Callithrix jacchus: one gene and its partners. The protein of the gene in region 7 purifies or fractionates together with the protein of the main gene of each other region. This does not show direct contact. Links are inferred from orthologs where the notes say so. Each region holds a gene or a part of one and is shown on either strand. Other genes may lie near its edges.

Region 1 (3,957 bases), about 73 Mb from region 7:
GAAGAGGAGGTTGTATGTTCTGGGGGAAACAAAAATCATTTAACTTAGTAAAACAAATACTGCATTTCTTACAATGTTTTAGGGACCTGTGGGTACAAAGAGCCCACATTAAAAGCATTTATGACAACAGAAATCATATCCACAGTGCCTGGCAAATATGCTTTTGGTAAATATTTGTTATTATCATCTCTAATGACTTAAATATTATAACTCACATCAAGTGTAAAAGCAAACAAATGGTTAACATTTTCCAGTTGCTACATGAAAGAAAAACTATCAAAAAGATAATTTTATGAGACAAATGTCTGGGATAGTGTTGGTACCTCGGGTTGGACGATCCCTATTTTTCTCTCTTGCAGCAGCTCTCTCTCTTTCTTCCAACTCTCTCCTGAAGTCACGGTTACGAACCTCTTCAGGGGCATCCTGAGTAGTTTGTCTAAAGTAAAAACGAGCCAGGGCAAAAATGTTACTTACACACACACACAACTGTAGTAATGGAAGACAATTCAAGAATGAGACTTTGTCCTTCAAGCATAAAAAAGGGAAATAGACAAGACCATAAGCTAATCTGAGGGTTACTAACAGCCACTCCTGTGATGTTCCCAATATTTCGAGAAATCCAAATTCAGTATTTTCCCATGATAAGGCTTTATACAGATTTTCTTTTTTTTTTGAGATGGAGTTTCGCTCTTGTTACCCAGGCTGGAGTGCAATGGCGCGATCTCGGCTCACCGCAACCTCCACCTCCTGGGTTCAGGCAATTCTCCTGCCTCAGCCTCCTGAGTAGCTGGGATTACAGGCACACACCACCATGCCCAGCTAATTTTTTGTATTTTTAGTATAGACGGGGTTTCACCATGTTGACCAGGATGGTCTCGATCTCTTGACCTCGTGATCCACCCGCCTCGGCCTCCCAAAGTGCTGGGATTACAGGCGTGAGCCACTGCGCCCAGCCGGCTTTACACAGATTAAAATATCTGTAATTAGTATTATATCAACTCAGAACAGTAACATTTTTAATATATTGACTGGTGCTGATTGTGCATAGTCTCTCTGAGGCATTATTATTTATATTATTTATTGCTCTATCTACATATGAAAATTCCTGGTTAGTAGGAATTTTGCATTTTAAAATCATAGAGCAAAATTTTAGTGTTAAACATCCTGTTGCACTCTATGTCTATGAAAATAAATAAGTAACATAACTCAAACATACTACTATATCATGACCATGTCATTTAACAGATTTGGTCTTGTTTTGCGAACGACAACAAAAAAGTCTTATTACCTGTATTTTATCTTTGTATGAGAAGGTAGGTCTCTGCTTGAATACTGCTTTGAAAGTTGGCTCAAATCACCTTCTCCTTTTCCTCTTCCACCCCTTGCAGGTTCAAAGGTTGGCCTGGCTGCAGTTGTCATCTTTTATGCTTTGAAGAAAAATAGTATCAAGTTATTTCCAACATTACGAACTCTCATTTTAGAGTATTAATCAATATCCATCCTGGTGATATAAGTTCTAAAACTCATTCCCCAAAACTTGCTTAATCTTCTTAAACAAAAGTTTTCAAGAAAAAAAATTATGAGGCTTAGGCAGTACAAGGAATATGGATTCCCAGACATGTCTTAGTACAAAAAATTCTGTCACGAAGATCTGAGTTTGCATCCCTATTCTTCTGACTCTGTGGGCTTCACGAAGTCACCTAGCTTAACTTTCTGTCATCAGCGGAATGGAGATATTCCTCCTAGGATTATTGTAAGAATTACGACACTTGACATGTCAAAACCCTTATAAAATACCGTACTGCCATGACTGAGTTTTAAAAATTCTCAGCTCAACCTTACTCCACCAAACTCTCTAAGGTTTGTATTTTATCTAAATTTCACACAATAGCAAATAGACTAACAGAAACAAAAGCCAAAAACAATTTTTAAAAAATCACTGACGAAGTTATTAAGTGCCCTAGGCAAAAGTGTTAAACTTCAATGACAGTTACATAGAAAAAAAATTCTTAAACAACCTTTTGTTGATCCAATTTTCTTCTACAACAGGCATCATATTATAACTCAGATCTCTTGTGGGTTATAATTTAAGGACTGTTCAAAAAAACAAGAACCTCGCCCCAGAGGATTCTAATACCAAAAACCAGGGACACATTCTTTATTTTCTGCTTGGCGCAATCACAAGAATACTGTCTAACAGATTTAGTTACTAAGACGCTGTAAGTGTCGGAAAAGTGTGTGGGAGGGTGGGTGAATTGGGAGGATTTGTTTTTTCGTTTTTTTTTTTTTTGGCAGGGGTCTATTTCTCTTGATTTCCGAAAAGGGTAGAGGCATGTCTTCAAAGAAGAAACAGGATTATCTGGCTCTGGGGGCACCGCGCCTTCCCACACGCCAACAGAATTATCACTCTGGCCTCCGGAGAGCTAGTCTTTGGCTATAACCAGAAACTCGCTACCTCTTCACCCGTGCCTAGCACTACAGGGATGCGAGGAGTAGTGAAGGGTGGACCTGAGGCTCGCTTTAAGCGGTAGGCGAGCTGCCTTTACGCTGCGATCTTAACCGCAGGCCTAGAGCTCCGGACGCGCCTGACAGGCACTCGGTTCCGCCCCTAGCGAGCTGCTTCAGGGCCTCCGCCGCCCGCGCTCAGCACTCTGCCACCAACTCCAATCCCAACTGCCCTTTCCCGTCCTACCGGGATAAAGAAGATAATCTGTTATCCTCCTGTCACTCACATTGGCCGAGGTCCGATGCAGCAGGCTCCGAATATCATACAGACGCCATTACTACGCTTGGCTCCCAGGAACCTCTGCGTTCAGGGCTAGGCCTATGACCCGGAAGCAAAACCCAAGCGCTTCTGAGGCGGAGATAACAACCAATCCGCAGAGGCCAAAGTGGAAGTTGGCGTAAGGGCAATAAGGGGCGGGGCCTAAACGGCCCAGGGGGCGGGCGTTTGAAATCAGTGCCTTAGAGTAGACCCTAAACATCATTTTATACCTTCAAGAACCAATTACTTAATGTCTCTTCCGTCTTTTCCGTCCCCGACCCCCTCCCAGACTCCATTCCGGTACTGCGTGGACGGAAAGCCCCGGGTAGCCGACACCACGTCCCCGGCTAGCGGGTTAGAGCGTGGAAAAGGATTACACCAAACTGTTTAAATCCAACGACTCCTGCTTCCATCCTGAGCTAGAACCAACAAGCCTAGAGAGTTGGGCTTCGGAAAAACTAGTGTTTTCATTTAATTGGATATGAAGAAAGAACAAATAAGTACGGGGCAACCACGATCTTTATAAAGGTACCATTCCTGCAAAAATATTACACTTCAAAGCAAAGGTTGTATGCGTAATGTTTGCTAAAATTTTTTTATTTAAAAAACGTTAGTTCTTGTGGGAGGGGAGATGTCAGTATTTACGACAGCGTTTAGAACGGTGGGCCCAACTGCCAGAAGCACAGTGTAGTTATTAAGATGGCTACTCAAGTGTTAAGTTTTAATAAGACAACGAAAAGGAGAAAACCCAAAAACCAAAAAACCCACCAATCGTCTCACCTCCCTTCCATAAAAAAATAAGTCAATCTGAGAACAGAGGTCTTGAATGCTTAGTTCATCTTGGTATATCATCACGTAGACCTTGACGTATAGTAGTTACTCAATAAATACTTGTTAAATGGAAATTCAACGTCCCCAACTTAGTTTAAAATGTAAGGAGCTCACAAAATTGAAAATTTAAATGCTTTCTTATCCCTAAATTCTTTGCAACTTTTAAATGAAGGGGAAAAAAAAAAAGCAGAAAAAGCCTTTTCACTCGTAAAGTTCAAGATGAAAATCTTGATTTTTCTTACCAAAGATATCCCTCCTCCAGTGTTAAACATCTCAGTAAAGGTCATCATATTAGTTACTCAAACCAAAATCCCAGAGTGCCTATTTAAATTTTTTTACCTTCACTCTTCACATACAGTTCA
Region 2 (3,500 bases), on a different chromosome or scaffold from region 7:
CAGGGTGTGGGTGTGGGTGTGTGAAATGTTATAGGAGACTGGGTGGGCCTGGAGTAGAGGAGGGGATATGAGGGTTAATTGGCCAAGGTGAGGCTGGACCAAGCTCCACTGCACCTTGCCTCATTTCAATAACAAATTTTTGTTTGGCTGGGCACCGTGGCTCATGCCTGTAATTCCAGCACTTTTTTGGGGGGGGTGGGGGGATGTTGTTTTGCTATTGTTGCCCAGGCTGGAGTGCAATGGCATGATCTCGGCTCACTGCAACCTTCACTTCCCAAGTTCAAGTGATTCTCCTGCCTCAGCCTTCCAAGTAGCTGGGATTACAGGTGTGTGCCATCACACCTGGCTAATTTTTTTAATTTTTAGTTCAGAGAGGGTTTCTCCAAGTTGGTTAGTTTGGTCTTGATTACAGGTATGTGCCACCATACCTGGCTAATTTTTTTTTATTTTTAGTAGAGACAGGGTTTCTCCATGTTAGTCAGGCTGGTCTTGAACTCCCGACCTCAGGTGATCCGCCTGCACCTCAGCCTGTCAAAGTGTTACCGTTGTGAGCCACCATTGCCTGGCTTTTTTTTTTTTTGAGACAGTCTTGCTCTGTTGCCCAGGCTGGAGTGCAGTGGTGTGATCTCGGCTCACTGCAACCTCCTGGGTTCAAGTTATTCTCCTACCTCAGTCTCCTGAGTAGCTGGGAATACAGGTGTATACCACCATGCCCAGCTAATTTTTGTATTTTGGATGGAAATGGGATTTTGCCATGTTGGTCAAACTGGTCTCGACCTCCTGGCCCCTGATAAGGTCCAATTTTGAATCTTGGCAATTGGGCTCTGAATCCATGCCCTTAACCCATTCTGCTCTCTGTTTGGTAGCGTATCCAGTATGCCAAGACCGACTCAGATATCATTGCCAAGATGAAAGGCACCTTTGTGGAGCGGGATCGCAAGCGGGAGAAGAGAAAGCCCAAGAGCCAGGAGACACCAGCTGCCAAGAAGGCTGTGCAGGGCGGGGCAGCTGCCCCCGTGGTGGGAGCTGTGCAGGGGCCTGTCCCGGTAAGCCAGGGCCAGCAGACCAACCCTCCTACTGACAGGCTTTCCTTAGCCACATGGACTGGCTTTGGGACAGGGTGGGGAGAGTTCTCCCCGTGGGGCTTCAGACCCCTCCTTTCCATTCCCTTATAGAGATTATGTGTCCGTCTCTCTTTGGGGGGTGTTGAGCCCCTAGATGATACTATCTCCACTCAGAACGCCTGTGTTGAGCCCCTAGATGATACTATCTCCACTCAGAACGCCTGTTCCCGTGTGACTGTTTCTCAGTGTCTTTCTTTCTTCCTGGCTACGTCTTGGTATCGCTGTCTCCTTGGCCTTGATTTTGTTGCCTGTGTCTTTTTGTTGTTGTTGAGATGGAGTCTCACTCTGTTGCCCAGGCTGTAGTGCAGTGGCGTGATCTCAGCTCACTGCAACCGCCACCTCAGGTTTAAGCAGTTCTCCTGCCTCAGGCTCCCAAGTAGCTGGGAGTACAGGCATGTGCCACCACACCTGACTAATTTTTATATTTTTAGTAGAGATGGGGTTTAACCGTATTGGCCAGGCTGGTCTTGAACTCCTGACCTCTTGATCTGCTCGCCTTGGCCTCCCAAAGTGCTGGGATTACAGGGATGAGCCATCATGCTCATCCTGTCTTTTAAGTCATTGTGCATGTAGAAAATCCAAGTATCTACTAAGCAACTGTTAAGATTGGTTTAGAAAGGTCACTGGGTATAAGGGCAATGTGGAAAAAATCAGTTTTATTACGTATTTATTAATTATTATTATTTTGAGACGGAGTTTCGGTCCTACTGCTCAAGCTGGAGTACAGTGGCATGATTTTGGCTCACTGCAACCTCAGCCTCCTAGGTTCAAGTGATTCTCCTGCCTCAGCCTCCCTAGTAAGTAAGTGGGACAACTGGTGGGTGCCACCATGCCATGCTAATTTTTTGTTTTTTTGTTTGTTTTTTTAGTAGAGACAGGGTTTCACCATGTTTGCCAGGCTGGTCTTGAACTCCTGGCCTCAAGTGATCTGCCCACCTCAGCTTCCCGAAGTGCTGGGATTACAGGCTTGAGCCACTGCACCTGGCCCTCACACAATGAAGTTTCTAGAAGAAAACAGGAAAATGTCTTCATGACCTTGGTGAGGGCATGAAAAGTGGAAACATCCTGTTTTCTAAACAGAATACAAAGAGCACTAAGTACAAAAGAAAAGATGGACAAGGCCGGGCATGGTGGCTCACACTTGTAATCCCAGCACTTTGGGAGGCCGAGGCGGTTGGATCACGAGGTCAGGAGTTCAAGACCAGCCTGGCCGACACAGTGAAACCCCATCTCTACTAAAAATACAAAAATTAACTGGCATGATGGCAGGCACCTGTAATCCCAGCTACTTGGGAGGGTGAAGCAGGAGAATTGCTTGAACCCAGGAGGTGGGGGTTGCAGTGAGCCAAGATCACACCACTGCACTCCAGCCTGGACAACAAAGCAAGACTCTGTCTCAAAAAAAAAAAAAGAAAGAAAGAAAGAAAAGATAGACGAACCGGGCCCACTCCTTGGGTCTCTGATCCTCTGTGTCTCTCTGGCTTTTGTCTGTGGCTCTGGCTCTGACTGAGTTGTGCTCTGTTCACTGCCACTCACACTTTCTCCACGTCACCTATGGCGTCCGATTACTGTGGGCTCCTGTTGTTAACCTCTCTCTGCAGTCTTCACTGCACGCAGCTTTCTGTCCACTTTCCACTTCAGATTGTGACTCCAGCCCCTGTCTGTGCTGCCTGCCATCTGCGGTCTTCCCTCTTCCCCTGGCTGCCATGCGTTTCGTTCTGCACCTGCCCTGAGTGTCCCTTGCCATCTCTGCCCTCATTTGTATTTGTTTATATTTTTTGGGACAGATTCTTACTCTGTCGCCCAGGCTGGAGGGCAGTGGTACAGTCTGGGCTCACTGCAACTTCTCCCAGGTTCAAGCAGTTCTCCTCCCTCAGCCTCTCTAGTAGCTGGGATTACAGGTGCCTACCACCAGACCCAGCTAAAATTTGTATTTTTAGTAGGGAGCGGGTAGCACCGTGTTGCCCAGGCTGGTCTCAAACTGCTGGGATCATAGGTGTGAGCCCCCGCGCCCGGCCTACCACACGTTTCTTCCTGCCCCTTCCCTGACTGCCCCTTTCCATCTCCGCCCCTTCCCCGACTGCCCCTTTCCATCTCCGCCCCTTCCCCGACTGCCCCTTTCCATCTCCGCCCCTTCCCCGACTGCCCCTTTCCATCTCCGCCCCTTCCCCGACTGCCCCTTTCCATCTCTGCCCCTTCCCCGACTGCCCCTTTCCATCTCCGCCCCTTCCCCGACTGCCCCTTTCCATCTCCGCCCCTTCCCCGACTGCCCCTTTCCATCTCCGCCCCTTCCCCGACTGCCCCTTTCCATCTCCGCCCCTTCCCCGACTGTACCTTTCCATCTCCGCCCCTTCCCCGACTGCCCCTTTCCATCTC
Region 3 (3,500 bases), on a different chromosome or scaffold from region 7:
GGGGTGCTGGTTTCAAGGCAAGTGGACTCTTCCCAGTGCTTGGGCCAGGGCTGGAAGCGGACAGGGCAGGGTAGGCGGGCGTGAGGAAGGTGAAGGGAGTGGACATCAGGGAGGAAGGGGCAGGAAGAGAAGCTCACATCAATCCACCGTGCTCCTCTTTAGCGCCTCTGGTCAAAGGTTTGCTGGGGGGTGGGAGGGAAAGGTATGGGGAGGGGTGACTGGGGACCCTCGTCTTCCCCACATGCCACACCCCCCCAAGGGCACTGAGCCCCAGGATGGGAGCAGGGCCGAGGTGAACAAGCAGCAAGCAGGCCCCCCTCGGCCCTGCCATTTCCCCCCAAACACTCCCACCCCCAGGAAAGAGGAAGTGAGGAAAGGAGACAGGGGCCAGGGGCCAGGAAGGACCAGTCTCTAGCTGGAGAAACTGCTGGGAGAAGGCAGGAGAACTCTGCCTATCCTGCCCTTCCTCACCTAAGGGGCAGAGAACAGAGACGGGAGCCTAGAGAGAAAAAGGCGGTGGAAACCAACACCCCTGGGCCAGAAAAGAAGCCCAGGCTGTGTACACTGCCTCACTCCCAGGAGCTCCCTTCTCCAAGGAGGCAGGGAAGAAAGAAACTGGAGGCAGAGACCAACCCCCTCGAATAGAGTCCCACAGAGAGCCCCAGAGAGTTGACAAGAAGAAACAGGCAGTCAGAGTCAGAGACAGAGAACAGCCCCTTGCAAAGGAAAACACAGAATCAATTCCATGGCCCCAGAGAAAGAACCTATTGCTCCCAGCAACCCACCAGCAACCCCCAATAGAGGAAATGAAAGAAACCCCAGAAACGGGGGAAAAATCGGAATTCAAGACAGACCAAGCAGTAGATCCCTCCCCCAGATCCACACAAAGAAAGATGAGCCACAGAAGGCCTGGGCCCAGATACAGAATCAATGGGCCACCCCCAGGCTGGCCAACACCCACCCCCCACCCGACTCCCAGGCTGGCCCAGCCCGGGGTCCCTGAGCCCTAGTACCTTCGGCGCCGCCTGTCCCGGGAAGCGCTCCGCTGGTCCCGGTTGCGCCGGTCTCTGCTCCGGCTGCGGCGTTTGCGGTCCCGGCTTCGAGAGCGGCTGTGGCTGCGCTTCCTATGCCGATTCTCCTTGTCCCGCTCTGGGCAAGGGTGAGAGGAAGGGGATGCGATGAGCGGAGTAAGGATGTGGACCCAGCCCACCCTGCGCACTGGTGGCTATGTCCCAAGCCCCAGGGAGGCCACCCCCCAAAGGGAAGGGATTCGATGGAGGAAGGGAATTAACAGGCCTCCTAGATCCACAAGCGAGTCCAGGGACCCTGAGGGGACCAGGGGGACGGGCCTGGAAATGCCCCCGGGGTGTAAGATACCTGAGGATGCTCAGGAGGAGCTGGGGAGCCAGAGAAGACAGAGGCTGGCTCCTGGTCCCCCTCGAGGGCTGAGGGGCCTGACCCCAGGGTCGTCCCTGAGAGGGGCAGGGCTAGAGGCTGGGGAATCAAGAGACCCAATGATGTTTTCCTGAAGGGACGCAGAGACCCCTCAGGAAAGACCTCTGCAACCAGCTGGCACCCACAGCCCCATCATCAGGCCTAGAGGTCAGGTGCCAGGCAGGATTTGATATCCCCAGGAAGCAGGGAAACTCAACCCATCCCTTCCCAACCTGGTGAATAATGCAGAAGCAAGCACGCTTCCCCCGGGGAGTGAAGGGCCTTGAAGCAGCTGCAGATGGAGGGTACAGAGCCCTCCTCTGCTTCAGCAGGTCAGGGGAGGAGCTTGCCCTACCCAGACTTTCACCCCAAACCACCTGACTCTCCCTGCCTCGCTCCCTTCAAAGCCAAGTACTGGAGAGGTTGTAGAGTACGGGTGTGTATCTCCGCCAGCCTCCAGACGTCCTATTTTCCTCCAAGGTGGCCACTAGAAACAGAGCCTCACTGGCAAAACCACAGAAACCTCTGCTTCCACCAGACCCTTCAACTCCTGAAGACCAACCCTTCAAGATGGAGGATAAACCATGAGCTGGGGGTGTTCATAAGCACCACTTAGAATTCCCTGAATTCAGAGATACCCAGATTTCTCAACTATCCATGAAACACACACACACACAAGATGCACATGTTAAGGTGCTCATACATGTTAACAAGCATCACCTAGAGTGATGATCCCTGGGGCCAGAGGGGGGAAAAGGCACAGAGGGAGAATGTTAAACTTCAGCCTCACCCAGCATTTTGTTATTCTGACACCAGATGAATGTTGGGAAAAGCATCACAATTCCAAAACCACCAACACTCAGAAAAATATGCACCCAGCGGGGGGAAAAAAACAGTAACAAATAATGTGATGCTTCTTACGACGGAAATCTGTATTAAATAGTTCTGTTTGCAAAAAATTAGCTGGGCATGGTGACGCATGCCTGTAATCCCAGCTACTTGGGAGGTTGAGGCAGGAGAACTGCCTGAACCCAGGAGGCAGAGGTTGTGGTGAGCCGAGATCGCGCCACTGCACTCCAGCCCGGGTAACAAGAGTAAAATTCTGTCTCAAAAAAAAAAAAAAAAAAGTTCTGTTTGTACTTAATCCTCACTACTGCTTCAGAAAAACACTGCTGGGGGCTGACATAATGGATAAGGAAACTGAGGTACAGAGAGACCACAACTTGCCCAAGGCCAAACAGCTAGAAAATGGTGAAGCCGGAATTTCAACTCTGTAAAGCCATCAAGTTCAGCATGAGGCCATGCTCCTGAATTCGGATCAGGCAGGACATTCTGGCTAGAACCACTAATGACAATGCAATTGTCGGCTTGAAGGCCCAAAACCCCAAAATCAAAGACAGAAACGGGGGGGAACAATCAGCAGGACAAGCCAGCAGCGGAGTAAGCACACAGGCATGGCAGCGGGCACAGCGCTGGCTCCACACTTGAAAGATGGACAGGCTGTGAGCCCCAGGAGCCCTTCCTGCTGCTAAGGCTCTGAAACAGGCAGCAGGCAGAAAGGAACACACGCACAGAAAGCAGTGACGCCTGGCTGGGTGCCTGGGACATAGACAAGGAAATTCCCTGTAGACACAGCGAGCAGAGGAAGGCGCTGAAGCAGAAGCGGGCAGGTACAGAAGCTGGCCCGTCCTCCAAAGAGACAAAGACCCACAGCCAGAATGATACGTGTGCGCGGGCAGAGCTTCCCCTACGGCAAGAACCCTCTCCCACACACTGATGCTGGACAGGTAAAAACAGAAAGGGAGTTTCGTTTGCTGAAAACATTGTATTGTGGTCATCTTATGGGAGCAGCTCCGCCAACCCAGGAACCACGCCAGGTCCAGGCACTGGCCTCCCAGCATCAGAGGAGAAACCACAGGAGAACCAGTACGGTGCCATCTAAGGGCCTCAAAGAACGGACCAATCAGCTCGACTTGGTGGTCAGCATAGAGGAACGTGGCTTTGCAGCCAGCCAGAGCTCAAAATCAGTACCTGTTTTTCTACTTACCAACAACATAAAACCATGC
Region 4 (3,500 bases), on a different chromosome or scaffold from region 7:
GGCCTCTGCCAGGCAGCATCCATGTGCTAAGCCTCCCAGGGCAGCTGAGGCCAGCCGGCAGCAGGCCAAGTGGCTTCCTCATAGTATGAATGGGAGCGCTGGGGCCATGGTCCTAGCACTCCTCCCAGGCACTTCCAGCAGCTGGCACCAGGCAGTCCCAAGAGGCCAAGGGCACTTAACATGCTGGTGGGGGGCAGTGGAGGGGGGAGTCGGCAATCAATGGTAGCCGCTCAGACAGCAATGCTGGGAGGGAGAGAAAAAGTCAATTCCCACAGACACAGGGGCCCTTTCTTCTCAGGCTGTGCACAAATTCTTTCCGAGCTGGGGAGAACAGTCTGGTTCTGGAGACTCCATGCCTGCTTGGCTCGAAGGGGGCAGGGATGCCTGAAAGGAAGTGTGGGCTACATTTACAAGAGTTCTGGGAGCTTGGAGCCCAGCTGAGAGATCAAAACAGAATAGGGTCATGCAGAGAGTTCCCTAGCTGAGGGCTGGCATGAGGCAGTGAGAGCAGAGTGTCCAAGCCAGGAAGGCGGCCACAGAACAGGTCGACACAGCTTTTAGATCCTTGCCTATGAATGAATCTTTGTTGCTGGAGCTGGAAAGAGGCTCTGTGTGGCCTGGGCTTGAGCAGCTGTACTGCCTTGTTCAGGACCCACGCCTCCTTTCAAGGTTCACAATGGAGTTGGATCTGACTGGTGGAGAGTACTTCTATCTCCAGGGTCTTCAGGGAGAAAGGTCATCCCACAGGCCCACCCAGCAGCTTACCTCATCCATATCTTGCACTTGGGTGTCCTGATCCAGCTGGGAAGGAGGCTCCTCTGTCTTCTCCTGTTTCTCATCCTCCTCATCAGACTCGACCTCCATTTCAACTTCCTCACTCTCCCCAAACTTCTCATATCGCTCCTGAATGAGAATTCGGGCCCCCAGCTCCTCTGGCGTGGTGGGGGGTGGGAAATTCCCTAGAGGGAGCCAGAGGCAAAGGCATTCCTTATCAAAGACCCATCTATTAGCCCTGTCTGAGCTCTCCAAGGGCTGAAGCTATGTCTGTTTTCTCTCCAGCTATCTCCAGAGGCCCATCTAGGGTCTGGCAAGTACGTATTGAATCTATCTTGGGCAAAGTGGTAGAAATGAAGTTTTCTGGGAGCAGAGAGGAAACAGATACTGATAAAGTCCTCTGAGAGATTCTGCTGCTCTCTGGCAACACTTGCGCAAGGTCTCCCAGGAAGTCTCAGAATTCCTGGCTCCCATCTGGTGTTACTCCTCACAGACCCACCTTGCTCATTGGGTTGGAAGTCCACTGTTTCCACCACCACAAAATCATGCCAGTCGATCTGAGCATAGGCCACCCGTTCCTTCTCCTTCTCCTCTTCTTCCTTCTTCCTCTCACGTTCCTGGAATTTGGCCCATTCTACTCGGTAACACACCTGCAGGGATGGGAAAGAGCTCGGTGCTAAGCTGAAGCAGGGTCTGCTCCCGATGAGGCCACCACCTTCAGTGCTTTCAGCAAAGCCAGCGCCTCCTTCAAAACAGAATGGAACTATGGTTCCAAACTATGGTATTTGCACCTGGTTCCACCCACACCGAGTTTGGACAGAATGGAAATTCCACCCTGTGACTGGCTTGGGAGCTGGCCTTCTGCCTTCTAGCTAGAGTAAAAAAGAAGGAGACATATTGAGGCTGAGAGCAAAGCAGAAAGTTGTGATACGTTGGGAAGCATGTGGACTCCAGGTTTCTTTGGACTTTGTAGCCAGCCAGGCCTGTTTCCCCACCATTCCCGTGACTGGAACATAACAAGGTACTGCTGCAGAGTCTATGTTCAAACATAAAACAGAACCCACCATCAGTAACTAGCTGCAAGAAATCCAGTTCAGTTTACCTGATCCAAAACTTCTCGAGGGTTTTCAGCCTCTTTCTTGAGCTTTGTAAATAAACCTTTGGGTGGAATCAAGATCTGAAATACAGAAGAGTTAAAGCAATTGTCAGTGCTTTATAAGGCGGGACAAAGAGGCAACCTTCCTGGGCCTGTGATAAAGCACAGGAGATGAGAAGCATGGGATTCTGTGTCCCAATTCCAGTTCTACTTGGCTGTGGGACTTGGGGCAAGTTACTTAACCTCAGTAACTTGATTTCCTTCTCCAAAATAGTGGCACCACCAAAGCTGGCACCATGAACTTGAAAAGGCTACTTTAAGGATTAGCAGGAAAGCACGCAAAGCACTAGCAGATTACCTAGAACATGGTCAGTATGAGACAGCTGCTTTCATGAGACTGACCTGCTCTTATCCCTTTGAAAATACTACGCAGGTCTCCCCTGACTATCCTATTCTGAACCATAGCCTACCTGCCCCACCTCTATTTCTGCCTCCTGCTTTCTTTCTCTCCACAGTATTTAGCACGATCTGACAGACACTAACATTGCACTTGACTTCTCACTAGACTAGACACTCCACGAAGACAGGGATTTCTCTCTTTTGTTCATGATTACATCTCTAGCACCCTGAATAATGTCTGACGATATTTTTTTTACTGAGAGAACAAATGCAACCTTTGTTCTAAACAGCCCCAACAGCTTCTACTGCCACTGGCAAAGTGGCTCAGCCCTATTCCAATTCTCCTTGTACCTCTACCCCAAGAATCTATCTGCTCAGAGTCTTCCATGGCTAGAAACAGACACTAGTACTCTCAAGTTAGAGTGGTAAATGCCAATACCCAAATTCTGAAGAAGAAAAAAAATAGGAATGTAACAGAATAAAAAATAATATGGGACCTTTAACCCTGGAAGCAGTCCACTGGGAGAAATTAATCCAGTGCTCACTTAAAATTGATATTGTATATTTAAAGTAACCCTTTGGCCTTGGACCTTCAGTGATTGTTATTTTAGCTACCATACTATCTTCTGGATTTGTCATTTTCTAAACACACACATTTTTACAATTTTTCCTAATTATATACTTAGAGTGAGTAAAGTTAGGAAATCCTATCAAGTCAGATATTTGAGGTGTTGTTTCTGGACATCAAGAACAGATGTACAGACCATCCCACTGAAAAGGGAAGAAAAACAACCTCTACGATGTATGTAGCAAGAAAAATATGCCACAGGAAAAGCTATACCAGCACACTCTGCAATAAATTAAAAATCGCCTTTTTTTTTTTTTTTTGAGAAGGAGTTTCACTCTTGTCCAGGCTGGAGTGCAATCGTGTGATCTCGGCTCACCACAACCTCCTCTCCTGGGTGGTTCAAGCCATTCTCCTGCCTCAGCCTCCCAAGTAAGTGGGATTATCAGCATGTAGCACCATGCCTGGCTAATTTTATATTTTTAGTAGAGACGGGATTTCTCCATGTTGGTCAGGGTGGTCTCGAACTCCTGACCTCAGGTGATTCGCCCGCCTTGGCCTCCCAAAGAGCTGGGATTACAGGCGAGAGCCATCACATCTGGCCTATATTCTGATTATTTTAAATGCCAGAACTGAATTGTCCAGATTCTTTTTTATTTATTTATT
Region 5 (3,500 bases), on a different chromosome or scaffold from region 7:
TGAACACTGGCAACCTAGGCAGCGTATGTATCACTCTGTCCCCGGCAAAGGCAATCCCAGAAGACCAGGACAAATTGCAAGACATTCCACTGTTCTTGGAGGGACTGTTCCTGGGGACTCTGGAGAGGAGACACTCACAGAGCCAGCGGTCAGACACCACTCGGATGAAGTACTGAGGGGGCAGCGGTTCAAACACAGGCACGAAGAACGTGATGAGGTGCTCGTCCTGGGCATACTTGGCCTTGAGGAGAAAATATTCATGGTGCAGAATCACCTCGCTGTCCACATCCTCCACCAGAATCCAGAAAGCCTCTGATGATCCATGCACCTGCCAACAGGAGCACAGGTAAAAGGAATGTGAGACAACATAGACCGAGCACCTCCAGTCCAGCTCCTCTGCCACCAACATAGACTTGGTGCCTCCAATTCAGCTCCTCTGCCTTGCAAAGCCTCACCTTTTCATCCCACTGGAAGTCTGGCGTGATGGTCAGCTCTACCTTCAGGGTGGAGCGTGTGATTGGCTGCAGGTGAACCGACAACTCCAACTTGGGAAAAAGATGGACATATTTGTGGATGGTCTTCCCCATCTTCGGCATGCGGATAAGCTCCCCTATGGGGAAATAAGAGTACTGAGGCTGCAGCCCAGCCTGCCTACTATACTGCACACTGGGCCTGAGGGGACACTGTGGGAAAGGGATAGTCTTCCCTTTACTGTCAGTGGAGTGCAGGATTCCAAGTCCCCAGTCCAAGGGCCAGCCTGTACTTCAGTGGAACTTGAGAACTGAACACAGGATACTAATGCAGAAGGCCTAGGAACTCAAAGACTACAAACTGAACAAAGGATACTAATGCAGAAGGCCTAGAAACTGGAAGACTACGTAGGCCGACTGGGAAAGACCCCAGGCAGTGAGGACAAGGGCGAGAGCTTCCCACACACCGATCTCATTATGATTCAGGTCGTATAGACGCTCAAAGGGGAAATTCTTCTTCTCAATCTTCTTCACTACTTCCTCAGGGAGTTTCCGGAACTGGCGCAGAGGACACATGGACTGCCACCTATCCAGGAAAGAGGCAAAGCTGTTGGTCCCTTCTGCAGGGATGCAACAAACTGCCCACATCATGGCTCCAATAGTTCAGCAGTGACCACACAAGACAGTCATTAAAGGTGGACGTTGACACCGTGCCAGCCCTGGCCTCCACCTTTCTCATACTCCCCAGCCCTACCACAGAGGGCCTTACTTCTTCTCAATGTGCACCCAGGTTCAGGTCATATTTCAGATGTCAGGTCTGGAAATCAGATGCACCCTGAGGCTTTCCCAAAACACCCTTGGGTTGGGGACTCACTCATGGTGACCAACATCCAGCTCACTGGGCCCTTACATGCGTTTGTCGATCATCTTGCAGAGGTTCAGGGTCTTGTCTGTAAGCTGTGCCCAACCTCGGTTCAGGACAATTTCAAAGATTGCTCGCATTAACCGGCCAGCCGACTAGGAAAAGAAACAGCATTCCCACTGCTAAGTCTTGACTATCCCCAGGCCTCATTAGCCACTCTACACATGGTTTCATTACTCCAGCTCTGATGCAATGACCCACCCCAACTTGAAGGCAAATCCCCTCTGTTTTTACACCTTTCTCCCTTCCATATAGTAGATGCTTACCAAATGGGGAACAATTAGAAAAGTGCTGCTCAAGGTCACTGCACCACATTTTAACCTAACATTCACTGCATGATTTTAGAGCTTTTGACTCATTTAGCATTTAGAGTTCTACGAAGAGTTAAGGGTTACCAGTAACCTGTTCTTAGAGGTAAAGATGAAGAGCAGCTAATAAAACCCTGTGCCATTTCTGGAATTTATGAGTTCTGCAGCCACAATGGGAAATCACTTCTCTGTTGAGAAGGAGACACTGTGTCCCGTGGCTCTTCCTGTCTCTCTGAGGGCCTGTGGAGTCTCAAAGCATTCCCTCTTAAGGCCTTACCTTTCTCATGTGCTCAAGATGGGTACTACAGAGTGGCTGTACCACACATGCACCAACCAACCAACTACCAAGAACAGAACTAAGCATTCCTCCCATCTCACTAGGGTCAGGCCTCCTTTCCCCAGGATGCATACAGCACACAGGGATTGAACTGTTCAGGCCCCTTCTCACAGCTCCCATACAACTCTGCCCTCACCTGTGTGACATATACCATGTCGGCCATCAGTGCAAAGCCCTCCAATTTCAGCTGCGAGATGAAGGCTTGTAGAAGAACATTGATCTGGAAAGAAGCAAAATCATCCAGCAGGAGACCAATCACTGAACAGTACAAGAAAGGGAAGTACATTTCTGCTCTGAGCATTCATGCCAGGTGAGATCTTCTATAGCTCTTGACTTACAAATACTAAATAATTGTTATTTCATATAAAAAGAACATGTAAGAAAGCTGCAAAAACTAGGAGAACTGAGGAGGGTATCACACATGAACTCAAATTCGAGGTTCATCTTTTAGAAGATTATGAAAACTATATAATCTTCATCCTGATCAAAGCAAAAAGAGGAGCTCACCTTTGCGCTGGGTTCCTCGATGCTCTCCTTTACCGGGATAGGCACCCTCTCTAGCAACTTCTGCAGCTCTAGCTTCTCCTCCTGCCACAAGGAGGAAAACGTCAAGGGAAAGTCCAGAGGCCGAGGAGGGAAACCATTCAGTGACTTGGTGAGCACCAACTCCCCGCCCCCAACACGCTGCATAGGCTCACCTCTCTCACAGTGATGTTTTTGAACTCAGAGGACAATGAGAAGACTCTGAAAAGCTCAATCTCACTGAGGGTGGGCTTCAGCAGCTGGTTGTAGGTCTGCACTGTATCATTGGTGATGTAGTAGTGGCTGGCTATACGGCCCAGTTCTGTCACCTGGAGAGAAGGTAGACTCAATCCAGTACTGACTATTAATGAGCTCCAACCTCTAACTGTGGACCATAAGTTATTGTCCTATAGGTTTTTTGTGCAGTTTTTTTGTAAAGTATGTAACTCAATGTCCTGTAAGTTATTGACCTTACAGGACAATTAGATGAATTCACAGCAGTACAAATGCCAGGCCCAGGCACATGAAAAAAAATGGCACAATAAGCTGACCCATAGTGTCTGCACAGACAAGACAGCTAAATTATCCACCCCAAGTTATGGGGAAAGCTACCCATTTTTCCGCTGTTCTAGGCAACAAGCGATTAGATAGGCAGTACTCACTTCTATCTAAGAGCAATCTGACATATTTTCTCCTGGGTTGACTTTTGCCGAGACCTTTGCCTCAAAACCCTCACCCACCACACACCTGGAAGTTGCCTGTCTTCTTGTCATACTTGACCAGATTGTTCTTGTCCAGCATCAGAGCAGCCGTGTGAACCAAATCTAGTCGGCGCTGGTCCAGTAGGGGATCTCCCTTGAGGTCATCATGAGAGATGCCATAGAGGGTTGGGGATCGCAGCATTCGGATATACAGGTAGGCATAGCCTAGCCAGTTCACTG
Region 6 (3,500 bases), on a different chromosome or scaffold from region 7:
TTTCAAAGCTAACATCCTGGTAAAAAAAAGACTTGAGACGGAAGAATTGGATAACCATAAACATAAGTCACTAACCCTCACTTTTATAAAAGATTTACTAGCTCTTGATCCAGACTAGGGTCATTAAAAGAGAGGAGGAACTGGTATTAGATATGCTTTTAGGCCACAGTGATTCTGCCTCAAGCCCTTGGAAAATGTTTTAGTAATTCTAAGGGGAAGGTTGGCCCAGTATGGACACCTACCTATATACAGATATGTGTACCCCCTGTGAAATGTCTTCTTTAAGCTTTTTAATTTTCTTGACCTTTCTCTGTTCTGCCGTGAGCTTTCGGGCAGCGTTGGCCTCTTCATGCGCTCTGTCGTGACAGGAAGGACATCCACAAGTGAGAAAGGCATTGAAGATCAGAGGCAGGGCTGAGGGAAAGAGAGAGCAACGGAGGACTCTCCCCTCCCTCCAAATGTGGATCCCCCAGAAGAGTTTGGGAAAGGTACTTGCCCGGGGTTTCCACCCAATCCCATGGCACTTACTTCTGCCTTTTTGCCATCTGAGCTCGGACATGGGCTTCTACCTTCGTGGGGTCTTGAACAGCTTCTGTTCCTAATACTCGCATCAAATTAGAAATTCTCACTGCAGTGAAGAGAGGACAGCAATCAATCTTTGAGGTCACTTCTGCAGCTGGGTAACTTGTTATCTCTTCCATACCAATTCATACAATTTACCTATTTCAAATCTCTGCTCTAAACTCACTTCCTCCAATAACTCCTACCTTGAAAATCCCACCCAATCACTTCAGCATTTGCGAAAGTTCACACAATTAAGTTGAAGAATTGGCATGCATTTATGTTACCTGAAAATTTATGAAGGAACTTCATAGATGTGGAACTTAATTTCTTTCATATTTTTCACACTGATCACAGCATCCGGTAAAAGAGCTTATACATAACAGTTACTCACTCAAAATATTGCTGAATGAGTATGTAACTACAGGGGCAAGTTTTTATTTTTGCCAATCAGTTTGAGCTTATAAGGTTGCTCAGGTTAGCCTTGAACTCATGAGCTCACCTTCGCAAGCACCACGACCTCCAGTGGGAGCCACTTTGGACCCCTTTATTTTTTTTGTTTTTGTTTTTTGAGGGGCAAGTTTTTTATCCTATACTTTCATTGCAAAAATTAAAACATTAAGAATTATGTACATAAAAGTCTACACAAATATTACAACTACTATCTTAATGAATTTCAAGACCTGTATTCTTCCAGGAAAACCAGAGTGCTTATATAATCAGTATGCTTAAAAATAAGCCTTAAATGGCCTCTATAACGAATGTGTTGACCTATCTTAATATGAAAAGATGGCAGAAAACTTGGAGAAAAAAGACTCCAAGAATGATTCTTAGAAACAGAAATCACCCAAATATAGAAATGTTAAGGTTCCTCTAGAATTAAAGACATAAACTTGCCACCCTTTTTAGCGGCAGAGGCCACTAAGAAATGTACCTTTGGGTTCTGGAGGAGGCATTAGGCCCAGCCTGACTTTTTCTTGTAGTTCTTTCTGTGCTTCCCTCCTTGTTTGTCTCCGAAGTTTTTTCTGTTCCTTCTTGGTAAGATATACTCCCAGCGTAACTGGTGTATCATTGTCAACTGTGAGGCAGAAAAATTAGTATACCAAAGCAGTAAGAATATATATACATATATATATATATATTTTTTTTTTTTTTTTTGAGAAGGAGTCTTGCTCTGTCGCCCAGGATGGAGTGCAATGGCATGATCTCAGCTCACTGCAGCCTCTGCCTCCCCGATTCAAGCGAATCTCCTGCCTCAGCCTCCTGTACACGCCACCATGCCTTGCTAATGTTTGTATTTTAGTAGAGACGGGGTTTCACCATGTTGGCCAGGCATGAGCCACTGAATCCAGCCAGCAATAATAGTATTAAAGAGACCAAGGTAAATATCAATATCATTAAAAGAAACATTAGGCTGGGCACAGTGGCCTATGCCTGTAATTCTAGCACTTTGGTAGGCCAAGGTGGGAGGATTGCTTGAGCCCAAGAGTTCAAGACCAGCCTGGACAACAAAGTGAGACCCGACTACTATAAACATTTTATGTAAAAAAAAAAAAAAAAAAAATTGAAACTTTAGAGAATGAAGAAAACTCATTAATTAATAAGAGATCAGTAAGATTAAAATCAGTTCAAGCCAAGGCACTATGGCAATGTTCTTAAAAAAATTCTTATCTTTAAGTAGTGTTCTTAGTTGTTTTCCTTTAAGTTATTAAATCCCTTCATCAAATGATACCTGGCAAATATAGAAAACAAAATTAGGGCCAGGTGCTGTGGCTCACGCCTGTAATCCCAACACTTTGAGAGGCCAAGGTGGGTGGATCACTTGAAGTCAGGAGTTTAAGACCAGCATGCCCAACATAGCAAAACCCTGCCTCTACTAAAAATACAAAAATTAGCTGGGTGTGGTAGCAGGCACCTATAATCCCACTACTTGGTAGGCTGAGGCAGGAGAATCGCTTAAACCCAGGGGGTGGAGGTTGCAGTGAGCCCAGATTGCACCATTACACTCCAGCCTGGGTGACAAGAGAGAAACTCCGTTTCAAAAAAAAAAAAAATTAGGCTGGCCTCAGGAATTTGAGACCAGCCTAGCCAATATGATGAAACCCCATTTCTACTAAAAATATAAAAATTAGCTAGGTATGATGACTCAAGCCTGTAGTCCCACTACTCAGGAGGCTGAGGCAGAAGAATTGCTGGAACCTGGGAGATGGAGGTTGCAGTGAGCCAAGATTGCACCACTGCACTCCAGCCTGGGAAACAGAGCAAGACTCCATCATAAAAAAAAAAAAAATTAAAAATTAAAAACTTAAAAATAAGTAAAACAAAAAACAAAAACTCCACATTCTTCTAATGATTCACACTGATAACCGCTAAGTAGAATCTAGTTAAGTAAATTTCAGTGACTATTACAAATTGTATTGTCTGTTTTGTTTTTGAGACAGGGTCTCTCTCTGTCACCCAAACTGGAGTAGAGGCATGTTTACACCTTAATACAATCTCTACCTCCTAGGCTCATGCAATCCACCCCCCATCAGCCTCCCAAGTAGCTAGGACTACACATGCATGCCACCTTGCCAGCTCATTTTTTGTAGAAACAAGGATTTACCACCGGGCCTGGTCATAATTTATATTAAGATCTCAAACTACTTTTTAAACTTATTGAAAGATACTGTCAAGCAAATTTATCAATTAGGATATTTTCTCCTAGTTTATCCCAAGTGTTAAAATAGCCTATGATTTGCCTAAGCCTTGAAGAATGCATTTCAGTTATTATCTCTACAAATGAGGAAATTCCCAATATTCAAAGTGACATATCCATGGCCAGGCATTCTGCTAGTTAAAAACACAGCCACAACTAAGCCAAAAACTTTGCTACAAAAAGAAAAAAGGAAAACTGCCCACAGAGGAGGTCTACAGAAAAAAAAAAAAATTAAAAAAAG
Region 7 (3,500 bases):
AAGCTCACGTTGAATTGTAGTGCCCATAATCCCGACATGTTGTGGGAGGAACCCGGTGGGAAGTAATTGAATTGTGGAGGTGGTTACTCCCATGCTGCTCTCAGGATACTGAGTTCTCAAGAGATCTGATGATTTTATAAGGGACTTTACCCCCTTTGCTCAGCATTTGTCTCTCCCGCTGCTGCTTTCCCTTCTACCATGATTGGAAGCTTCCTGAGGCCTCCCCAGTCACTGTGAGTCATTAAGCCTCTCGCCCTTATAAATTACCCAGTCTCAGGCAGTTCTTCATAACAGTGTGAGAACGGACTAATACAGCTGGTGTTCCTGACCCGTAGGCCTAGGCTAATGTGTGCTTGTATCTTAGTTTTTAACAGGAAAAAATTAAAAAGTAAAAATATTAGAAAACAGAAAAAAGCTTATAGAACAAGGATGTAAAGAGAGACAATATTTTTGTACAGCTGTACAATGTTTGCTTTAAGCTAAATGTTGTTACAAGAGTCAATTTTTTAAGTTTATAAAGTAAAAAAGTTAGCTAAGGCTAATTTATTACTGAAGAAAAAGCGTTTTATAAACTTAGTAGAACCGAAGTGTACTGTGTTTACAAAGTCTACAGCAGTCAGTGTATGGTAATGTCCTAGGCCTTCACATTCACTCACCACTCACTCACTGAAAGCCACTTCCAGTCCTGCAAGCTCCATTCATGGCAAGCACCATTTCCCAGTGCACCATTTTTTAACAATCTCTCATACCTTATTTTTAACTGAACCTTTTCTATGTTTAGATCTGTTTAGATACACAAATACTTACCATTGTGTTATAACTGTATTCAGTACATTTAATACACTGTACAGGTTTGTAGCCTAGGAGCAATAATAGACTCTACTAAGGTTATAGCACTAGCCTTGGTGTGTAGTAGGCCACACCACTAGGTATGTGTAAGTACACGCTATAATGGTTGCACATGGCGAAATGGCCTAACAAGATATTTCTCAGAACATATCCCCATTAAGGGATGTGACTGTATGATCTTCAATCATCTGACCCTCTGCAAGTCTAATGTTTTGTGGGACTCTCGTGCACAGAGAATTAAAATGGCTTTCCTCCTGTCACTCTGTCTAATGTCCATTTATTTCAGATTCAGTTAGCAAACCTTCAGAGGGAGGAGTCTTCTCTTCCTCCAGCAACCTGCCCAATGCCACAAGGCATGGAAGTGGCAGAGCTGGTACTAGCATTTACTGCCATGCAGTCTCAGTCTGCTTCCTTAGCTATAAAGCTCTGCCTTAGGTGGTAACCGAAAGCTGCTTAGGTAAATTCATGCAAGCCTTAGAGATTCCTAACCCAGTGAGGCTTCCCTCCAGGCCTGGGCACCTAGAGACCAGCCTCTACCTGTAAAGTGAAGAATCTCCGTCCATTGTTTGCAGATGTAGATCTGGACATCCGTGCCCCCAAGGGCCAGGTAGGTACCACTCTGGTCAAAGATCAGTGACTTTACCTGTTAGAAACAGAAAGGTCACACGAGGGGAACAGAAACTATGGGGCAATTGCAGATAAGCAGAAGCAATGAGATTAATTCAATAATCAACAAATAAGGAGGCACAATGGGAAGCTGGGGAGGGAGAGGGGCACACCTCGAAGTTGCTATCCAGCTGCAACGTCTTAAAGTTCTTAAGCTTGCGCAGATCCCAAAGCTTAACAGAGGAGTCATCAGCCGCTGTCGCCAGGTAGTAACCATTCTCAGAGAAGGCAATGCTGGTGATGGGGCCCGAGTGGCCAGGGAAGTTGGCCACATTGGTTCGTTCCTACAGTGGCGGTGGGGAGTAAAATATGTCACCCATACATCACGAGAGGAAGAAAATGGGGCTCAGCAAACTCCTACCTGAGATGTCCACCACTGTCCTTCCAGGAAGGACAGCCAGCAGGATGCCACCCAGACCACACCATCATATCACACATGCACAGCCAGTGTCTCTCCACCCTCAAGGCCAGGTGCCACAAGCACCCAATCAGCACTGCACTGTCACAGACGCTCCCTCCAGCCCGGGGCCTCAGATGGAGGCCTACCATGTTCTCCTACCTTCAAGTCCCAGATCTTGATCTGAGAGTCCATGGTTCCCGTTCCAAAGATGAGTCCGTCAGGGTGGAACTGTGCACAGGTGAGAGCTGTGGAAGAGGGAAGACAGACCTGTGATTAGAGCCCACCAGGGAGAGACTAAGAGCAGCAAAGGTAGGTTCCTTGTTCTTCACATTCGTCAGTGCACCCAGGACAAAGCCTGGCACTAGACAGGTGCTGGTGGTAAATGTATCTTTAGAACAAATAAGCAAATGACTAAATAAAACATAAAAATAAATGATAAACAGCAAACAAAAAGCTGAGTGTCTACAAGGCAACTTACAGCAGCCGGAGGTCTCATCTGTCACCTTGGTAAGCACACGCCCTGTTTGGATGTCAGAGAAAGCCCAGTACTGGAAAAAAAAAAAAGAGAGAGAGAGAGAGAGACGATGGAGTCAGAGAGAGAGTGGGTCCTAGGCTTTGGTGGCCCTTCAGGAAGGCAGAGCCCCTGGTTTCGCAAACCCTGGCAAACCTAGCACCTCCCAGCAGAGGAAACATTCCCCTTTGAGGTTCTGGGGAACCACCTGGGGTGGGAAGATGTTCCTGCCACCCAGGATGTTCAAGCTTGGGGACCAGCAGGCCTCTCCAGGGCACTGGCTGGGACCGCACCTGATCATCGGAGGAGCTCAGGAGATAGTCACCAGTGGCATGAAGGCTGAGGCCGGTCACAGCACTCTCATGGGCCCGAACCACCTGTACACAAGACGCATTGGGGACCGACCAAATCCTAATAGTGGCATCGGGGGAAGCAGAAAACACCAGGTCCTAAAAGGAAAACAAATATCAGAGAGTATCAGTCAGAAAAAGGATATAGATCCTAACAATCTTATAAAAGGGGGCTGGGGATGCCCACAACTACCAACAACTGCTTCTCCTTTCAGCCCTGCCCTCCCTGGAACCACCTACCCACCCAATGGTGCCCAAGACAGCCAGTGGTAAACGCTATTAAAATGGTAACTCATACAGCATCAGGACTTGTGTAGGAGGCCTCGCCATCTAGTGGTAAAAAGGCTAACTGCAACATAGAGCGATTTTCCCACCCCATTTCCAGGACCAGAGGAGGAAACATGTAGCTAGTACCATTGAGGGTTTAAATTTTTTATTCTATTTCATTGAAATTTAAATAGCCACATGTACCTAACTGGTACTGTACTGCATGGCACAGGTCTGAGCAGTACTGGGACTGTAAGGGGCTGCACAGTGGTATTTCAGCACATCCCACATTTATGGATTTCCACCGTAAGTTAATTTTCCAAAAAACTTGGGCAGGGAGAGAATTTCGTGTCACTTACCGATTTTTTTGTTTAGTTAGGACATTAAAAACCATGAGGTAAAAATAACTACCATCTTTTTTAGCAATACAATTTCATGAGACATAACTATTGACATC

What was found.
Region 1: the proteins of PRPF19 (region 7) and CWC15 purify together in Homo sapiens (co-immunoprecipitation; 4 studies listed by BioGRID and IntAct, with this or other methods). This does not show direct contact. The link is inferred for Callithrix jacchus from reciprocal best matches to the Homo sapiens genes PRPF19 and CWC15.
Region 2: the proteins of PRPF19 (region 7) and SNRPA fractionate together in Homo sapiens (co-fractionation; 3 studies listed by BioGRID and IntAct, with this or other methods). This does not show direct contact. The link is inferred for Callithrix jacchus from reciprocal best matches to the Homo sapiens genes PRPF19 and SNRPA.
Region 3: the proteins of PRPF19 (region 7) and U2AF2 purify together in Homo sapiens (affinity purification with western blotting; 3 studies listed by BioGRID, with this or other methods). This does not show direct contact. The link is inferred for Callithrix jacchus from reciprocal best matches to the Homo sapiens genes PRPF19 and U2AF2.
Region 4: the proteins of PRPF19 (region 7) and SF3A1 fractionate together in Homo sapiens (co-fractionation; 3 studies listed by BioGRID and IntAct, with this or other methods). This does not show direct contact. The link is inferred for Callithrix jacchus from reciprocal best matches to the Homo sapiens genes PRPF19 and SF3A1.
Region 5: the proteins of PRPF19 (region 7) and SNRNP200 purify together in Homo sapiens (affinity purification with mass spectrometry; 3 studies listed by BioGRID and IntAct, counting the BioPlex papers as one, with this or other methods). This does not show direct contact. The link is inferred for Callithrix jacchus from reciprocal best matches to the Homo sapiens genes PRPF19 and SNRNP200.
Region 6: the proteins of PRPF19 (region 7) and PRPF3 fractionate together in Homo sapiens (co-fractionation; 3 studies listed by BioGRID, with this or other methods). This does not show direct contact. The link is inferred for Callithrix jacchus from reciprocal best matches to the Homo sapiens genes PRPF19 and PRPF3.

Annotation. Positions count from the first base shown.
Region 1 is NC_133511.1:45,351,680-45,355,636, reverse strand, and holds the start of CWC15 (spliceosome-associated protein CWC15 homolog), read right to left. Parts: upstream 2,801-3,957; 5' UTR 2,693-2,800; intron 1,428-2,692; 5' UTR 1,420-1,427; coding exon 1,289-1,419; intron 437-1,288; coding exon 324-436; intron 20-323; coding exon 1-19. UniProt on the Homo sapiens protein: Involved in pre-mRNA splicing as component of the spliceosome. Component of the PRP19-CDC5L complex that forms an integral part of the spliceosome and is required for activating pre-mRNA splicing.
Region 2 is NC_133523.1:36,300,154-36,303,653, forward strand, and holds part of SNRPA (U1 small nuclear ribonucleoprotein A), read left to right. Parts: intron 1-866; coding exon 867-1,046; intron 1,047-3,500. UniProt on the Homo sapiens protein: Component of the spliceosomal U1 snRNP, which is essential for recognition of the pre-mRNA 5' splice-site and the subsequent assembly of the spliceosome. U1 snRNP is the first snRNP to interact with pre-mRNA.
Region 3 is NC_133523.1:48,521,816-48,525,315, reverse strand, and holds part of U2AF2 (splicing factor U2AF 65 kDa subunit), read right to left. Parts: intron 1,150-3,500; coding exon 1,014-1,149; intron 183-1,013; coding exon 138-182; intron 1-137. UniProt on the Homo sapiens protein: Plays a role in pre-mRNA splicing and 3'-end processing. By recruiting PRPF19 and the PRP19C/Prp19 complex/NTC/Nineteen complex to the RNA polymerase II C-terminal domain (CTD), and thereby pre-mRNA, may couple transcription to splicing.
Region 4 is NC_133502.1:200,941,207-200,944,706, forward strand, and holds part of SF3A1 (splicing factor 3A subunit 1), read right to left. Parts: intron 1,952-3,500; coding exon 1,877-1,951; intron 1,425-1,876; coding exon 1,274-1,424; intron 960-1,273; coding exon 766-959; intron 1-765. UniProt on the Homo sapiens protein: Component of the 17S U2 SnRNP complex of the spliceosome, a large ribonucleoprotein complex that removes introns from transcribed pre-mRNAs.
Region 5 is NC_133515.1:6,132,103-6,135,602, forward strand, and holds part of SNRNP200 (U5 small nuclear ribonucleoprotein 200 kDa helicase), read right to left. Parts: coding exon 3,307-3,500; intron 2,889-3,306; coding exon 2,736-2,888; intron 2,626-2,735; coding exon 2,545-2,625; intron 2,258-2,544; coding exon 2,174-2,257; intron 1,488-2,173; coding exon 1,381-1,487; intron 1,057-1,380; coding exon 938-1,056; intron 611-937; coding exon 456-610; intron 329-455; coding exon 139-328; intron 1-138. UniProt on the Homo sapiens protein: Catalyzes the ATP-dependent unwinding of U4/U6 RNA duplices, an essential step in the assembly of a catalytically active spliceosome. Plays a role in pre-mRNA splicing as a core component of precatalytic, catalytic and postcatalytic spliceosomal complexes.
Region 6 is NC_133519.1:10,267,563-10,271,062, reverse strand, and holds part of PRPF3 (U4/U6 small nuclear ribonucleoprotein Prp3), read right to left. Parts: intron 1,640-3,500; coding exon 1,496-1,639; intron 629-1,495; coding exon 529-628; intron 357-528; coding exon 243-356; intron 1-242. UniProt on the Homo sapiens protein: Plays a role in pre-mRNA splicing as component of the U4/U6-U5 tri-snRNP complex that is involved in spliceosome assembly, and as component of the precatalytic spliceosome (spliceosome B complex).
Region 7 is NC_133511.1:117,920,557-117,924,056, forward strand, and holds part of PRPF19 (pre-mRNA-processing factor 19), read right to left. Parts: intron 2,876-3,500; coding exon 2,720-2,875; intron 2,464-2,719; coding exon 2,394-2,463; intron 2,161-2,393; coding exon 2,075-2,160; intron 1,800-2,074; coding exon 1,629-1,799; intron 1,493-1,628; coding exon 1,387-1,492; intron 1-1,386. UniProt on the Homo sapiens protein: Ubiquitin-protein ligase which is a core component of several complexes mainly involved pre-mRNA splicing and DNA repair. Required for pre-mRNA splicing as component of the spliceosome.